Linked DNA regions of Arabidopsis thaliana. The main gene of each other region encodes a partner of the protein of the gene in region 4 in a complex. Each region holds a gene or a part of one and is shown on either strand. Other genes may lie near its edges.

Region 1 (5,088 bases), 6.1 Mb from region 4:
AATCAATATTTTAACCCCAAGGAGAAGAAATGCTTGCAACGTAAATCCCCACTTGTTTCAAGTTGATGAGTGTTTGGCAATTGACAATTGTGTGTCCCTTGTTCTGTAATGACAATCCTTCCTTCCTTCTTCCATATTTGGACTAGGTTGTTCATCAAAGGAAGGAAGGCCCCGGCTACACTACGTTAGAGGCTCTCCAAATCTGTCCTTTTCATCCACAACTAAACCAAACCCAAATTCAAATAACCAAACTGAACTAAAACATTCCACCGCAAACCAAACCGAAATTGAGTATCCCGGACCACGGTAACTCTGAATTCCAAACTATACCTAGTTTTGAACACCCCTAGAATTATGGACATCATGTTCAAGCAAAGCATCAAAGTGAGGAGGACAGAGTCTCCAATTGAAAACGAGTGAACACTAAACAATAGAATATAACGTAAAAGGATATGGAAAAACAGATTGATATCACAACAAAGTCTCATTGACCCGGAGAAAATACTGAGTCGCTCAATATCGGTCATTACATGATAACAAAGTTTTCTGACCCAGAGATTTCCAGGAACATAACAGAAGAGAAGAGACAAGCAGTGAGAAAAGTCGAATCTTACACGATACGCTCCAGCTCTCTGGCGTAGCTTAGAGTCTGGTTGATGAGTTGCAGAGACGGAATCTCTTTGCACGGTGCAGTTTCTTTGGCTTTCTGGAAGACAACAAACCCTTCCTTCACTTCCCACTCAGGATGCTCCTATAAGATTTGATAAAACCTAAATCGCGTCAATGGTTCATGAAACTAAAAAAGATTCTAAACTTTGCACAAAATGTTTTTTCTCTTACATCTGTGACATAGGTTAAGAGTTCTTGATCAGAAGAGAACAACAACATCTGCCGGGCATCGCTGATAGAGACATAATCATAAGCTTTCTCGCTGCATCCAGCTATTTCATCTCTGTGAATTCAGTCATAACAATAAAAAGGTGAGATAACACGCGAGAAGACATAAGACTGAACTAATTCAGAGAAGGACAGACTCATTGATGCTACCTTATGGTCTTTGCCAAGAGATCCATGAAATAGACGTAAGTTGCATCAGGCGCGGTCTGTCTAGCACTCAACACACGGTTATAGGCACCCTCCATGAAGGATTGCTCAAGCTCTACTGCATGCTTGATGCAAGGATCCTCTAGTGTAGCTGATGAAAGTAATTCAAGCTCGGTGTGGAATTCAGCAATTCTATTTTGTACCAGCAGCCTCAGAAGGTTAAGACCCAGGATAAGATTCTCCTGTGGAGACTGAGGAATACGGTTCCTGGTGCAGAGGAAAAGAAGATATGTTAGACCAAAAGAAAATGAAAAAGATAATGTTCAGACAGTTGGTTCTTTCTTTACCTGGCATCCACATAGTAAGGTTTCAGCTGGAAGAAATCTCTCTCAAAAGCATCTTGATCCTCGGTTTTGACGCTTAGAACAACAGCATGCTCATAAATGTCCCCTAGAATACACCAATTGTCAAAGTTTTAGAAACGGATAATCAATAAGAACAAAAATTACCAATAACTCAATCCAAACCAATGCAGCATTCAACGATTAATGTATACATATAGGGATAGACAGACAAACTAAAGCAGTACAATCCCTCAGACACTCTTCAGTGGTATTTAAGTATAGTTAACAAATAACTCATGAGAATAGACAAATCCAAAACACTCCATGCAATTGAAAGCAAAACTCTAAACTTACTAGCAAATAGCTCATGTAAAACCAATAATGAAAAAGAGAAACTTACTTGCAATAGTCAATTCCTTGGCTGCATTAGGTGAATTCTCGAACAATGGAGGAAGACTTGTGAATTTGGTAAGAAGAACCTGAAGAACACAACAAAACCCCAGCGACATCAGAGACTCGCACCAGTAAATTGTAAATCTAAACCAATCCCAACAATCCCTTAAAGTAGAAAGTTAAAAATTTCATAGCACTTAGCTCTTCTAAAAGATCCTTAACACACTTATATGCTAAAAATTCTCACTTCAATAAATCAAAGCTCTCATAGATTTAAACTCTCGCGACATAACCCATCAATTTTCCCAAAGTTGGTTCAATAAGCAGATATGCAAAGAAGTGAATTGAAACAAATTAGGGTTCAAAGAAGAGAGAGAGATGTAGACCTTAAGCTGAGACAACAGATCGCTACAGGTATTGTAATCCTTCCTCGCAAACGCCGCCTTGAATCTCTCGAACTGCTGTGAAACTTCAGTTAGCTGCGGATCCATCGCTTCTATGGTTTTTTCTCTTCACCGGCGACGATTCTTTTCTTATAGATTTGATTGCTCCGAGAACTGGCTTGATCGCGAAGACAAATAATACAGATAGAAATAATTGTCTTTACAAAACGGGCCTTTAACAGGCCCAATAACCTAAAAAGGCCCATGGTGTACAATAGAATTCTGACTAATGTGTACCATCATCATCTCTTATCCAAATTTTACTCTCTCATCTCCTCTTTGCTTTCACAATCTCACAACAATGGCGTCTTCGCTGTGTGTATCAAATTCCACAATTTGCCCTCTGCCTAATGTATCTTCGCAGCCGCTGCTATCATTCTCCCACTCTCTCAGGCCATTCATTTCCAAGTCGAAACCTATGTGTGCCTCGATACAGAAGAGAGATGGCTCTCAATTTGTGGTGAAATCTCAGGCTCTTGACTTCTCTGGAACTTTCTTTGAAGGTGGATTCGGGTCGGATGATGACCCGACTTCTCCTTCCGGGTCGGGAGTCTCAACTGCCCTTGAAGACAAACCGGAACCTCAGTGCCCACCTGGGCTCAGGCAGTACGAAACAATGGCGGTTTTGAGACCAGACATGTCTGAAGATGAACGGCTTGGTCTTACCCAGAAATACGAAGAGGTAAGTAAAAGTCTCCAACTTTACCTGTTTTCTGTTTCATGTCAGAGGGAAATTTGATTATTTGAGAGAGAAAGAGATTTTAGGATTCAATTAGAAGTTGAGTAAGAGATCACTAAAAGTTGTATCTTGTGTCTGTTCTTACACGTTAATGACAAAGCAAGAGAAAATGGTTTCAATGTAGAGTTGTGTAACTTGCAGCTATCAATTGAATGTTTGTGACGACTCCTTGTTAAAATTGAAGTAAAGAGTTTAACTTTCTAAGAGCAAATCTCATCCTTCTGTGGGCTGTGAATTCTTTAAGTCTCAACCATTTGAAACAAGATAGGAGCCCTTAGTGCACTTCTTAGTTTTTTAGTCATGTTTTACCATAACATTTTAACTCAATTCTTGAAATGTCCTTTGATGCTCGAAACGAGCTAATACACAGTTATCATTTGTGGTTTACGCGTGGGTTCTTTTACGCTATATCACATGTTTAATCTAATGAGGAATTCTGAAATTTATGTTCGGAGTAGTGGAAGTTTTTAGTTGGTGCAGACTCTGAAAGATTCATTATGTTGCTGGGATTTCTTTTTGGTGTGTGTGGCAGTTGCTTGTGGCAGGAGGTGGAATGTATGTGGAAGTGTTTAACAGAGGAGTGATTCCGTTGGCTTACAGCATAAGAAAGAAGAACAAAGCTGGAGAAACCAACACTTACTTGGATGGAATCTACCTTCTCTTCACTTACTTCACCAAACCCGAATCAATAGTTCCACTCGAGACCGTTCTCACTGCCGACGATGACATTATCCGATCATCTTCCTTCAAGATAAAGAAGAGGAAGTACAACTGAAGACCATGAACATTGTGTATGTGAGAAAAATGTCAGATTCTTTTTTTGTTTCTTTGTAAGAACAAAAGTAAATCTATCTTTTTTGTATCTTTTTTTGTGCATTGCTCTGCTTTCTTATGTAACTGTGAGAAACTCTTAAAGCTAAGTTTGAGAAGCATACTTGTATGCATTTTCATTAAAAGATTTTAACTAACACTAACTTGCCATAGTTACTATAATGATGGAATTCATATTACTCTGTTTCATAGCACAAAATCCTCAACGGATGCATAACAATCAAACAAAATAGCAACAAAGAACAAATTTGTAAAGTATTCAGGCAGAAGTGACTTTGTTTGCCAGCTTTTACCTTCTGACGATCCAAACTTAAATTAGTGAGATTGTTGAACTCCTTTACGTAATTGATCAAAACCATCAACATATACGAGTGAGAGACCTTGCAAGCTTAGCATTATAATGGTTCACGTTCATGCTTTAACATTTTATGAAAATCCTAGCATAGTTTCAAATCATTTTCAATTCCACAAAATCAAACGTGTCACATACATATAACAAAACAAACGGGACAAAGTATATTTGACACACCTCTATTTGCTTGTGTAAACTAATAATGTTCTTAATTAACAAAACACACGGGACAACGAATCAATCCATTCTCATTACACTTGACACACCTCTCCCACCTTTCACCTTTGGCCGCCCCAACCGCCGCCACCTTACAGCTTCCGCCGCACTCGAAACAAGGCAACCACCTCGCTCCTCCGCACCCTTCACACGTGAGCCTCCCTTCCTCCCCTACTCTCTCCACACGTGCCCACCGCAACACCCTCCCTAACTTCCCGTTCTCATTCATCGCTGTCACTTCCGCTGCTCCTCCCAAGTACCTCCCTTTCACAAACACTCGCGGCGGCGCCACTGATGCTTCGTCTTGGAGAAGCTCCTTAAGCTCGCTCAAGACTCCGGCGTCTAAAGACACGTCCCTCTCGTCCACCACAACTCCTTGCTGCTCCATGATGGCCCTCACACGCATACAATCCTCGTACGTGCGACGCACTCCTTGCAACGACGTCGTGTAGACAATCAAACCTTCCCCTCCTCCCGGCGGACACTTCTCCGGGAACTCCCTAAGTGGGTCCCAGTTCATCACCGGCTTCTTGTTCCCTTCTTTCTCCCTCCGTTCTCTGTCTCTCTTGACGAATATGTTCTCCTTCACTGACCGAGGCCCCGAGTAGGACGACTGAGTGGACTCGGTTCGATCATCTGACTCGGGTCTTAGCTTGGACATCGACTCGGTTCTCTTAAGCTTAACCATTGTCGTCGGGATTTGCGCGGCGATGCTTCTTTTGGCCC
Region 2 (3,365 bases), on a different chromosome or scaffold from region 4:
TACTTCAGCTCGTTGCATACCTTGATCCACTACTGCTCGAATAGCATTTCCTGCTGCGGTTTGGGCAGCAAAGGGTGTTCCTCTTCTTGTACCCCGGAATCCACAAGTACCTGCGGAGGACCAAGAAATCACCCGACCCCGTACATCTGTAACGGTTACAATGGTATTGTTGAAACTTGCTTGAACATGAATAACTCCCTTTGGTATTCTACGTACATTTTTACGTGAACCACTACGTGTATTTTTACGCGAACCAATTCTTAATATAGGTTTTGCCATTTTTTTTCATTTCACAAGAAATATATGGATATATCCATTTCAGGTCAAAATAGACCCTTTTTTCCAACTCTTTGGAAGTGCCTTTTCTTTTACTTTAGTTCCTTTAGTAAGATTATCCTTGTCTTTGTTTATGCCTCGGGTTGGAACAAATTACTATAATTCGTCCCCTCCTGCGGATTAGTCGACACTTTTCACAAATTTTACGAACGGAAGCCCTTATTTTCATAGTTGTTATTCCTTAATTCTGTGAATATATTTATTGGTGGACGAAAAAAAGGTTTCTTGATATTTTTGAATCTTGAATTGTATCTTCGTGAAAGGAATGGTTGAAATTGAAAAAACACTTACTCATTTGAATACTTATTATGGAGTCTAGAAAATGGCTGTCCCCTTATTAACTTATACTTAAGAACTTACTCAAAATTTTACCTTTTTATCCTATAGGTATACCTATACAAAAATATGTCGAATCCTTTCAGAAGCATGAACGAAAAAAAATCTTTAGTATCTAAACAAAATCGAACCATGCCGTTCGGAAGTGATTAAGAAAGAAAACTTTTATTAATTCATTTTTTCTTTAATTTCATTCGAAGTAAAACATCCGAAACTTTTTTGAACAGGGGTGGTATTACACAACCCCCTTTTTTCACAAATTGTAAGTTACAGATATCTAATTTTTATATTAGAAGGATTACCATATATAACACAAAATTTCTCCGCCGATTCTTTTTAGTCGAGCTTCTCGGTCTGTCATTATACCTTGAGAAGTCGAAAGGATTACAATTCCTATTCCGCCTAAAATTCGTGGAATTCGTTGAGAGTTAGAATAGATTCGTAGACCCGGTCGACTTATTCTCTTTAAATTTAAAATCGTTTTGTAGGATTCTTTCTTATTTCGTCTATGTCTTAGGGTTAAAATCAAAAAATATTGGTTGTTTTCGCGATGTTTCCTTACGTTTTCGATAAAACCCTCTCGTAAAAGGATTTTAACAATACTTTCCGTGATGTTAGTCGATCCTATCCGAACCGTTCCTTTTCTATTCATGTCAGCATTTCGTATAGAGGTTATTATATCAGCAATGGTGTCTTTCCCCATGATAAGTTAAAATTCCTTATTGTTCTATAATTTTGATATAATCAACATGTTCTTTTTCTTTTATTTATATATAGATATAGACGAATTATATATTAATATATGAATTAAATTCTTAATATTTTATTATTAAGGGTATATGCGTGATACAGAATCTATTAATTAATTTTATTTCAATACCTGTTTTTTTAATCCGATACTAACTATCGCTATCGATATTTAGATCTTATAATACCTCAGGAGCTAATGAAACTATTTTAGTAAAGTTTAATTGTCTCAATTCCCGTGGGATCGCCCCAAAAACTCGAGTTCCTTTTGGATTTCCTTCTTGATCAATGACAACTGCGGCATTGTCATCATATCGTATTATCGTCCCATTGTTACGTTTGAGTTCTTTACAAGTACGTACAATTACAGCTCTAATCACTTCTGATCTTTCTAGAGGAGTATTTGGTATTGCTTCTTTGATTACAGCAACAATAACGTCACCAATATGAGCATATCGGCGATTACTAGCTCCTATTATTCGAATACACATCAATTCTCTAGCCCCGCTGTTGTCTGCTACATTCAAATAGGTTTGTGGTTGAATCATATCATTTTTTTTGTATCTCTTCTTTTAATGCAAAGGACGAAGTAAAAAAATATTGTTTGTCAAAAAAAGAAAACTTATAATCTTTTTACCCTTAAATGTTATTTAGTTTTTTCATTATATATTCCTATTCAGAAATAATGAATTGGGTTTTTATAGGCATTTTTGATGCCGCTATTGAAATAGCTTTTCTTGCTATATTTTCGGGTACACCACCCATTTCATAAAGGATTTTACCTGGTTTAACCACAGCTACCCAATACTCAGGGGATCCTTTCCCAGAACCCATACGCGTTTCCGCAGGTCTTACTGTAACTGGTTTGTCTGGAAATATACGTACCCAAATTTTTCCACCACGTCGTACATTTCGTGTCATTGCGCGTCGCCCTGCTTCTATTTGTCTAGATGTGATCCAAGCGGGTTCAAGTGTTTGAAGAGCATATCTGCCAAAACAAATACGATTCCCACGAGAAGATATTCCTTTTAGTCTTCCTCGATGTTGTTTACGAAATCTGGTTCTTTTTGGGTTATAGTTGATGGTTCTAAATTAGAAATTCCATCTCTACTACAGAACTGAACGTGAGAGTTTCTTCTCATCCAGCTCCTCGCGAATAAAAGGACTAAAAAAGCTTGTATTAAGATATAGTTAATGATTAATTCTATTAATCATGATATTCAATTTCATCTGATCTCTTCTAAATTTGTGTATGTCTTTTTCGAAATGGAATCCAAGATTAATTCTATTTATTTAAAAATAACGTAACGTAATATCATCATCTCGAATGTCGTTTTTGTTAGAATATTCTAACAAATCCTTATTTTCTTTTATCTTTTTAATTTTTGTTTTTTATTACTTTTATTAAAAAAAAAGTATTCGCCGGCGAATATTTACTCTTTCAATATCTATATTAAGTTTGTTGTTTATCCCAGGAGATCTCTGAATAAAAATAAGAATAGATAATAATCTGGTTTATTCCGCCATCCTGTCCAATGAATTACTAAGATTTATTTTTCAATAGAATCCTCTATATTCATGGGTTCCGTCGTTCCCATCGCTTCTTGATTAATCATTAGGCCCGAATTCTACAATGGAGCTCTTATATGAAATCGGGAATTTCATTTTTTTTATTTGTTTTTGAGTCAATTTTCTTAGTTTTTATTGGCTCAAGGCTCTTAATTTTTTTTGTTTTCGGAACAGATTTATCTAATTATTCTGAATGAATCTGTATTGATGCTTTATTACATTGCTTTTCTTACAGTGACCTCATAGACTTTCCAAATTGGAATAATATATCATTAATATTCAATTTTTTCTCTCTTTCTTTCATCCTTCCACTGAATCCGCATACTTTTCGATTACCTTTCATAACTTATAATTATAGTTCTTTATTCTTTTTTTTT
Region 3 (5,131 bases), on a different chromosome or scaffold from region 4:
AAGATCTTAAGAATAGTTTCATGTTGATCTAGGAGTAACTTGGTACAAAGTCAGGATTCTTTGGACAACTAGTTAGATGAACTAAGATAGCTTATCTTCCATTGATTGCAATCTCACATCAACTTCTGTGTCTCAACCTGTTGCTTCATATGATGTTAAAACAGATGTGTTCTTCTCGGGGTGAGCTGTGGTGGGAACATAGCAGACTATGTAGCTCGGAAAGCAGTGGAAGCTGGGAAACTTCTAGAACCGGTGAAAGTTGTTGCACAGGTTCTAATGTACCCCTTTTTCATTGGAAACAACCCAACACAGTCCGAAATAAAGCTGGCAAACTCTTACTTCTACGATAAGCCTGTCTCTGTTCTAGCCTGGAAACTCTTCTTACCAGAGAAAGAGTTCGACTTTGACCACCCGGCAGCAAACCCACTTGCCCATAACCGCAGTGGACCACCTCTGAAGCTAATGCCTCCAACACTTACAGTAGTAGCTGAGCATGACTGGATGAGAGACCGAGCCATTGCTTATTCAGAAGAGCTTAGAAAGGTAAACGTAGATTCTCCAGTTTTAGAATACAAAGACGCAGTTCATGAGTTTGCTACACTTGATATGCTTCTCAAGACTCCTCAGGCACAGGCCTGCGCCGAAGATATTGCCATTTGGGTCAAGAAATACATTTCACTCCGCGGCCATGAGTTCTCTTACTGAAAATTTTTACCCTGTTATTATTCATTTTCTTCCTTTTTTTTGTGTGATAGCAAGATTTTCTGGGTAGGATTAGAGACAATCCAAGATCGAGTCTTTTGGCAAAAGCTATAAAATTTTATTTTTTGGTTACTTATGTATTCATATGTACGTATTCTGAATAAACCATTTTTGGTTCGACCAAATTTTCAAGTTTGTTCTTGGTTTGTCATCATTCTTGAATGCTGAAATCTTCAACTTCTTTTGTAACTTTATAATGAATGATGAAGATACGGAATAATAATAGCTAAAAAGCCGAAGATAAACTGGAAAGGGCTCAGTTCGAACAAAGGTTTGGGAATTACAAATCACATTTAAACAGAGATGACTAGACAAACTAAAAAGAGTATTACAGAAGAAGAAGGAGATCATGAAGATGATTACTTGGAAACTTTCTTCTTCCCTGCAATAGCAATTTTCTTGCCTTTAAGAGTCCTGCAGTTGTTCTTGGTTCTCTGTCCCCGACATGGCAGCCCTTGGATGTGCCTTACCCCACGGTAACACTGGATCTCCTTCAACCTCTTGATTGCAAGAGCATTGAACCTCCTCTGCACAACATCCACAACACAAATCAATAATTCATTCACAAAGGCCTAAGAACCAAATCAAAACAAGAGGAAACCCAAACTAAAGCAATGAAAACACCAAATAGATAGCAGCCTAAGTTCTTCTCCAATCTTCAAGAAACTGCTCGAGAATGGACTGACAGAAACTGAAACTATGATGCACATTACTCATGTCCTAAAGTGTGTAAATGTAAGGGAAAGTGTATTACCAGATCACCCTCAATCATGTACTTGGAGACTTCATCACGAAGAATGATGAGTTCTTCCTCAGCCATGTCTTTAGTAATCTTGTTCTCCATCTGAAGATCAACAAGAATCTGACGAGCCCTAGTTCGACCAATCCCATGAATGTACTGAAGAGAGTACTCAATTCTCTTATTAGCCGGAATCTCCACTCCACCAACACGAGCACATCTGATGCTTAGACTCTGCTTCTGCATTTCATTACAAAAAAAAAAAAAAACTTTAAAAACACAGAGACAAATTCCCCCAAAAATTGATGGAGTGTTCTATAACCACCCCTAACCCAAAAATTGACGAACAAGAATGAAGTAACACATAAAAAAACATGAAGTCAAGCTCGATAAATTACAACATCATACGCAAGAGAGAGTCCAAGAGAAATGATTACATTGGGAGTGTTTGAAGCTGGGAGGGCAAGAGTGTTGCGAGAGAGAGGATTGGATTTTGCCCAATTGCAAATGAGTGAGAGCGAGTGCGCTACGGGCATCGCAACCATCTGCGCCATTGTTATGTTCTCTTCCTAGGAATTTCGGATTCTGGGAAACTAATTCAGAGGTGACGAAGAAGAAGAAGAAGATGAGCTGAACGGATAAGGCAAACGTCGAATCCAAACGCTTCTCTTGTTTTTGCTCCGTCTCTACTTACTCTATTCAATTAATTGCTTACAAAACTGGCAAAATAAATACTTGTTGGGCTTTGTTTTTTGTTGAGATAGGCTCGCTATTGTATAACACGGCCCAACTAGTGGACTATAACAAAAATGCAAAAACCGAGTGGACTATAATAAAGTGATACAACTATAAAATGAAAAAAAAAATGATTTACAGATATTTTCTTAACAACTAAGATGAATGGTGTGATCAATGACACACATTTGATCAGAAGACGAAAGGCATGAGCCTTGGCTCCATGTGGGCACGTAGCTATTGAGGATAGAGTCATGATAGAAAAAGATTGTATAAAAAAAATGGTAAGTGTATAGATGAAAAGTCAACGGATGAGAATGAGTCTTGTTAACTATTTATCGAGATGGTCGTTCACTTCGTTATTGTCACATGTTGTTGTATTTTAAGGTGTTTGGGGATTTTTTCCATCTTGCATATATATCTGATTCATTGGAGTTGTACACTTGTACTCATGGTTTTGTTGGCAAGTTTACTACAATATTTCGAGTGTTTTCATGATGTTTATTGTTTCGTACTTTACACATGAAACTAGTTTAAAGCTTGTCGTTCTTCTAATAAGGATATCACTCATTGATTTTGACACCAACGTCTGAATAGTGAATACACCATTATTTGTTGAGGCGTACCCATTACTGTCACGTAAGGCCTGCATTTCATTATTTTGTTTAGGCTGACCCAATTTATTTTATATATTTACTTCGGATATTTATCTATTCTATAACCTTAAGATGAATTAGTTGATTTTAAAAAGAAAGTCCACCTTTTCTCAAACGGGCCATTATAATGCCTTGATTAGAAGATTTGGTTCGAAAAAGAGGAAAATATGATTAAGATAATAAAAAAAACATCAAGAGATAAATGTTTTATTATGATAGGAACACAACATCACAATCTTTGAAGAATTAACAAAAAAAGAAGGAATACATGTGAAAATTAAAATAAAATCTCATAGAGAGTAAAACATATTCTGAAGATGAATGGCAACACATCTCATCAGAAGACGAAAGACATAGCAGCGACCAATGCGGTGGCGATGAGCTGAGGGTAGGCGGAGAAAGTGGCGGCACTTGGAGACGGAGCCTTAGCCATGGGTGGCATTGGAGCCATAGCCGGACCATGGTGGTGGGTTCCGTTGTGCGACTCAGCAGTCATGACCATCACGGCCAAGACAATGCAGATGAAGGCGAAGCGGATCAAAGAACTTCTTGGTGCCATTTGAATGTTCTTCTCCTTTTTCTTCTTATTTGGTTTCTTTCTTTGTTGTTCTCTGTATGATCTATCAACAAAGGGGGTCGAATTTATAGAGAGAGAGAGGGGTCCTATAAAAAATGTTTAGTGGGTTAAAAGTCAACGCATGTGAATGAGTCATGATGTTGAGACGACCTAAATTCGTTATAATTTACATGTTGTTTACTTGAATATTTAAAAAAATGGAAAAAAGGACAGAGTGATCATGGTTATGTGTTTGAATTTGTTAGTGGACACCCATTTATATGTTCGTGAATGTTCTGCCGTTCTGGAACAGCTGTTACATAAGAGGGACGTTTCTTGACTAAGCCAAATTGACCCGGTTTGATTAGGGATTGATTCCAATCCATGTTCTGTTGCCGGAGACCAAAGAAAATGGTGTCTTTTGTGAGGCCGATCAGGGGCTTTGGCTCTTGATGAAGTTCAAAAAGAATAGAAATGTTAGCGTTGGTGATAGTTTGATATTTCCAATAAAGCATTCCAACTGTACCAACAAGTTTTAAAGATCAAACATCCGAAAGTACTATACAATCATTCTTGAAACTTGAAAGCAAACCAGTAAAACTTAAAAAGTAACACCATGATTCTTTTAACTAAATTTAGCAAATGTTATTATTAATATGATTATTTATCTGTTTGAAAAAACTGTAATTCTAGTAAACAAACAAATAATAAAAAGAAAATTATTTGATAAAACGGTAGATACAGTATGTTTGCAAAGAAAAAATTAGTTAACGAATGGAAAGGAGAAACTGATATGCTAAACGAATATTCTACGTAACGCTATCCATAACTACAGTTACAATTTTTAGGCCCAATTAGTGACTATATGAAGATTAAGTTGGACCTAAAGAGACAGTGCTTTTTAGTGGGCCTAAATATGATTCTGGTCCCTTGCATTAATAATTTTTCTTACACATCGTAGGCTCCGTATATACTCTTTTTCCCAACGGTCTCTCACGTATTATTTATTGTTTTTGTGATTTTGTCGAGGTCCCTCTCATATACAACAATACTCTTCTATATTACATTTTTCTAAATTTTAGTTCAGTTCAGTGCACCAAAACAAAAACGAATATTTGGTTAGCTGCAATTTTATTTTCTTGATGTACCACACAAAAGTTAAATATATTGAAGTATAGTAAGTTTGTTGACTACCTATAATGTAAGCTATACGGAAAAGAAAGATGTATGTATATATATATACATACACGTCGACTATAAATCAAATATCTAATTTCTTTTAACGTCTAATAAGTAATAATCGATCGGTTACCTAGGTTTCTATAGTACTTTAATGGAAATTGTAATGTTTACATTATCTGTTTATCACATTACATTATATATGAGTCATGGCGGGTTTTTTTTTCTTTGGGTGTTAATTAAGAGTGTGGCATGAAGGGTTAAATATTCAATTAAGGAAAAACTAATGCAATTTGGTTATATAATTTGTTTTCCTAACAGATTTCTAAATTTAGGTTGGTAATTAAACATTATAATAGACTAGGACATATAGCCTAATGTCTTTCAGAATTGATCTATAATTAGATAGATTTCTAATATTTGATCCCTATTTGGATATATGCACATACCTTCAAGTACATGGCGAATATTCCTCCATGCATTAACGCGAAACCCCACTCCGTA
Region 4 (4,406 bases):
CCCCGTTGACATTGCATGTTTAGGGAATCCAGTGACAAGGGTGTAATCACATTTTAGTATGTTACTATATGATAACATTTTATAATTTAAACGGCTCTCTATCTCTAATTATCAATGTTCAAAATCCTAAATAATGATTAGTTAAAATTAAGAGGTGTGGTCTGAAACATGCGCCCCACGTCCCATCTTCCAAAAAAAGGAAGCAAAAGAAGAAAGCTCCACAATTTTCTCAAAGCCAAAATCACTGTAACAATTACCCTTTATTGTTTTGCGGCTCGATTAGCTTCTCCTTCCCTTTTGATTCTCCCCATCTCAAGAGAGGCCCATTTGATCCTCTCTCTTTCTCTCTCTCTCCTCTCTAATTCTCTATTGCCATCAAGAGACCAGGAATGGTTCGTGCTTCGGAACAAGAACAGGAAACCTATAGGAGCAGGCTCTTCAATTTCAAATGGAGGAACAACGACAACAATAGTGCTACGAGACACAACAAGAGTCTCAGCGTCGAGACCGGTTTAGATGAGGCTGCCACCGGATCCCATGACGCTGAACCATTGACCATTATTCATCCTAGTCAGGGTCCACCACTTTCAAGATCGGCTGCGGATGAAGCAGTCCTCGCCGCCCTCGCCGCCTCACAGGCTAGAGAAAGGCAGCTTTTGGCAGACATGGAGCAGATGAAAGAGCGCTTCTCCAAGCTGTTGCTGGGAGAGGACAATTCCGGTGGAGGCAAAGGAGTATCCTCTGCTCTCGCCCTTTCAAACGCAATCACAAACCTTGCAGGTTGCTTTAGGACCCTCTTTTGTTATTACACTTAGTTTATATTAACCAGCAACCAATATCTCATGTTTATCTTGTTGGTATAGCTTCCGTGTTCGGAGAGCAACGGCGCTTGGAGCCAATGCCTGCAGAAAGAAGAGCAAGATGGAGAAAAGAGATTGATTGGCTTCTCTCCGTGACCGATTACGTGGTTGAGTTTGCTCCATCTCAGCAGAAAAATAAAGATGGGACCAATATGGAGGTTGTCTATCTGCTGCTGCTGCTGCATTATATTTCATTTGGTAACATACAATGATTCCCTTATTCTGTTGGTATTGATTTAACAGATAATGACCACACGCCAACGTACTGACCTCCACATGAATATCCCCGCATTGAAGAAACTGGACGCCATGCTCATCGTAAGACCTCTCTCTCTCTCTCTCTCGTTGACCAAATATCAACCCTACTTTAATAATTTCATTTAGGATATTCAAAAGCATCCTCTTATCCCCCTTTTCTACCTAGGATTGTCTAGAAAATTTCAAGGACCAAAGCGAGTTCAGCTATATCTCAAAAGACTCCCCTGACTTAGACGGTAAGAGAAACGACGAAAAATGGTGGATTCCGACCGTCAAAGTTCCACCAGATGGTCTATCAGAAGCTTCAAGAAGGTTTTTGCAGTACCAGAAAGATTGTGTAAACCAGGTTCTAAAGGCAGCCATGGCCATAAACGCACAGGTTTTGTTCGAGATGGAGATACCTGAGAGCTACATCGACTCTCTCCCAAAGGTAAAAAAAAAAAAAGACACCAACAATTGATGTTATTGATTAGAAGAGTTGATGAAGAATAATACTCACTTGTTTAGTTTGTAATAAATAAATAAACAGAACGGGAGGGCGAGTCTCGGGGATCAGATGTACAAGAATATAACGGTGGACTTCTTTGACCCGGACCAGTTCCTGAGCAGCATGGACATGTCGTCGGAGCACAAGATCGTGGACCTCAAAAACAGAATCGAGGCATCAATCATTATATGGAAACGCAAAATGGTTTATAAAGACAACAAATCATCGGCACCCTGGGCCTCCGGAGTAAGTCTGGAGAAGCGAGAGGTCTTCGAAGAGCGAGCTGAGACCATTTTGCTCATTCTCAAGCAAAGATACCCCGGGATTTCTCAATCTTCACTCGACATCAGCAAAATCCAGTTCAACGAGGACGTGGGCCAGGCGGTGCTGGAGAGCTACTCGAGAATACTGGAAAGCTTGGCCTACACGGTACTTTCCAGAATCGATGACGTTTTAGAGGCAGATCGAGCGGGGAACAAGAGGAACACGCCATTGGAAGCAGAGGAAGAGACGCTGGTTGGGAGCATGACGCTGTCGGATTTCATGGGATGGGACTTCGATCAGGCCGCGAACGCCGAATTGGAGTCGAAGAAGGATCTACCGGATGATCCGTTGATAAAGGAGAAGCTAAGCGTCGTCACGACCAAGAAGACCTCATACCTCGAAACCCTAGGCGGTGTCAAGAGTCCAACGGCACGGCATTGATATTTGTGTGGAAAATTAGGCGCAAAAAAGAGCGAAGACAGATTTATTGATTATTTAATTATTTTTAGGATTCAAAAACTTTACAAAAGGGCTTTTGTAAATTCCTTTTTATGAAAAGGTGGGCTTTTAAGATTAGGCCCAGTTTATTGTAAAACCCATTTACCATCTGTATACTGTATACATCCCTTCTAAATAGTAGTAGTACTCACCTTATCTTCATTTTCATCGATTCGATTCCAAATCGGAAGGATGATAACGTCGTCCCTAACCTCATCTCTGCAAGCTCTCAAGCTTTCGTCTCCGTTCGCCCATGGCTCCACTCCTCTCTCATCTCTCTCTAAGCCCAATTCCTTCCCGAACCACAGAATGCCCGCTTTAGTTCCGGTCATCAGAGCCATGAAAACGATGCAGGGGCGCGTGGTGTGCGCAACCAGTGACAAGACTGTGGCGGTGGAGGTGGTGAGGCTGGCTCCCCACCCCAAGTACAAGAGGCGCGTGAGGATGAAGAAGAAGTACCAAGCTCACGACCCCGATAATCAGTTCAAGGTTGGCGACGTGGTCAGACTGGAAAAGAGCAGACCCATCAGTAAGACTAAATCATTTGTGGCGCTTCCTGTCATCGCAAGGGCCGCCAGGAAAGCCGAAGCCGGAGGAGATGAACTCCTTGGCCTTCCCTTGGAGTCTCAGCAGCCGGCGTAGAGAATGATTGCTCTTTGTTTCTTTTGGTAAAGCCGTCTTTTTTTTGCTCTGCTTCTGTTTGTTTGTTGTGTATCCCGGAACCAGTGTAATTTATGGAATGCTTTTGTGATTTCATTGCTTATGCCATGAGTGTGTTTTCAATCTGATTGTTTCCGACTACCAATTGTTTGCTCTTACTTCATCTTCACCTCCAGTTACATTTAGAATGTGAATTAATATGTTTCTGTTGCTACTGTGTGCTTGTGGTCTCAGTGATCCGACTTTTGTTTCTGCTAATTCTACGGTTCTTGCTCCTCTTGTTATGGTTCATTTGCCAATGGAATGGACCAAAAAGGTGTTGGATAATAATAGGATTGGAGAAGAGAGAGCTGGTCGTTTTTGTACAAAACTTTAATGCACTGCTGCTATACATTATCATATAATTATATATAGGTAAATAATATCTGCTGTGACTTGTCATCAGCAATCTTCGATTTGTAGACTTCTCTTAATGTTGTGTAGTGTGACTGAGACGAGGTTTGTCACGGATTCCACAGACTCCATATTCAGCTTTGCTGCAGGAGAAGGGTTGATGAGGGTTTGGAGGGCGAGTGTCAGGAGCGACCCTCCTTGGCTGTTTCTGTCGTCTTGTGTAGACGTTATTACCAGTGGCCGTGACTCTACTCCATCAGGTATGATTGAGAATCCAGAGGGGAGGATTTGGATGTTGCTTGGATCATGTCCCGCGAGCACCAGCTGTGTCGTGTTTATATCTACGGGAGCGTATACCACCACCGACTCATACGAGTTAGTGCTGCTGTCTTGCAGCACCCATATGCTCTTTTCTCTCGATTTCACTGTCTGGAAATGTATAGAAATTCAGATTATCAAGGCCTAGACAGATTTAGAGGAGGAGAAGACAAAATAAACGCACCTGGATTGCCACTGAGTTGCCTCTGTCTTGTCCCTTGGATAAGTTTGCAATAGACTGAACATGAGCTCCGTTTGACAAAGCATCCCACTGATGATATGTATCGTTAGATAAATATATGAGTGGAAACCGCTTTTCTTGTTTGCTTAAATGTGTGTGAATTTGACAAGGTACCTCATGCCGACGAGCTTCATCTCTAAAGAAATCGAAGAGAAGAGCTGGAGAAACAGGTAACCACAGCGAAGAAGAAGCGCAGACAATGACTCCCGTGGGCTCGCCAGGATCATGAAGGTTCTTCCTGGAAGAAACCCGCATGTCTTGTCCAGTTTTGGTGGTGATTTTGGTCCATTGATGGTAGCTTGATGCAGCAATGGCGCGGTAGAAGCTTTGTGTCATTCTCTGAGCCATCTTCAGCACACTCTTTCTCCCGGCAAGAGTTGTAACTCCTGATTATCAACAGAGGAGTGAAAAGGTTATATATAAAGAA

The links.
Region 1: RPS17 (region 4) and AT1G64510 share a complex: the UniProt entries of both Arabidopsis thaliana proteins name them as parts of the 30S ribosomal subunit.
Region 2: RPS17 (region 4) and rps8 share a complex: the UniProt entries of both Arabidopsis thaliana proteins name them as parts of the 30S ribosomal subunit.
Region 3: RPS17 (region 4) and EMB3137 share a complex: the UniProt entries of both Arabidopsis thaliana proteins name them as parts of the 30S ribosomal subunit.

Annotation. Positions count from the first base shown.
Region 1 is NC_003070.9:23,953,643-23,958,730, reverse strand, and holds AT1G64510 (Translation elongation factor EF1B/ribosomal protein S6 family protein), read left to right. Parts: upstream 1-2,426; 5' UTR 2,427-2,453; coding exon 2,454-2,906; intron 2,907-3,495; coding exon 3,496-3,738; 3' UTR 3,739-3,928; downstream 3,929-5,088. Other genes in the region: RPN12a (regulatory particle non-ATPase 12A), read right to left, coding at 611-751, 841-952, 1,048-1,311, 1,392-1,494, 1,789-1,867, 2,168-2,272; AT1G64500 (Glutaredoxin family protein), read right to left, coding at 4,355-5,088. UniProt on the Arabidopsis thaliana protein: Binds together with bS18 to 16S ribosomal RNA.
Region 2 is NC_000932.1:79,098-82,462, forward strand, and holds rps8 (ribosomal protein S8), read right to left. Parts: upstream 1,376-3,365; coding exon 971-1,375; downstream 1-970. Other genes in the region: rps11 (ribosomal protein S11), read right to left, coding at 1-279; rpl36 (ribosomal protein L36), read right to left, coding at 392-505; rpl14 (ribosomal protein L14), read right to left, coding at 1,599-1,967. UniProt on the Arabidopsis thaliana protein: One of the primary rRNA binding proteins, it binds directly to 16S rRNA central domain where it helps coordinate assembly of the platform of the 30S subunit.
Region 3 is NC_003076.8:4,616,718-4,621,848, forward strand, and holds EMB3137 (Ribosomal protein S13/S18 family), read right to left. Parts: upstream 2,265-5,131; 5' UTR 2,056-2,264; coding exon 1,939-2,055; intron 1,742-1,938; coding exon 1,517-1,741; coding exon of another isoform or gene 1,472-1,516; exon of another isoform or gene 1,290-1,471; coding exon 1,122-1,289; 3' UTR 706-1,121; downstream 1-705. Other genes in the region: CXE16 (carboxyesterase 16), read left to right, coding at 165-705; AT5G14330 (uncharacterized protein), read right to left, coding at 3,230-3,503, 3,722-3,834. UniProt on the Arabidopsis thaliana protein: Located at the top of the head of the 30S subunit, it contacts several helices of the 16S rRNA.
Region 4 is NC_003070.9:30,040,076-30,044,481, reverse strand, and holds RPS17 (ribosomal protein S17), read left to right. Parts: upstream 1-2,529; 5' UTR 2,530-2,559; coding exon 2,560-3,009; 3' UTR 3,010-3,239; downstream 3,240-4,406. Other genes in the region: ROPGEF12 (RHO guanyl-nucleotide exchange factor 12), read left to right, coding at 390-780, 864-1,018, 1,104-1,178, 1,285-1,548, 1,648-2,310; GL2 (HD-ZIP IV family of homeobox-leucine zipper protein with lipid-binding START domain-containing protein), read right to left, coding at 3,469-3,849, 3,923-4,009, 4,094-4,365. UniProt on the Arabidopsis thaliana protein: One of the primary rRNA binding proteins, it binds specifically to the 5'-end of 16S ribosomal RNA. Required for optimal plastid performance in terms of photosynthesis and growth. Required for the translation of plastid mRNAs.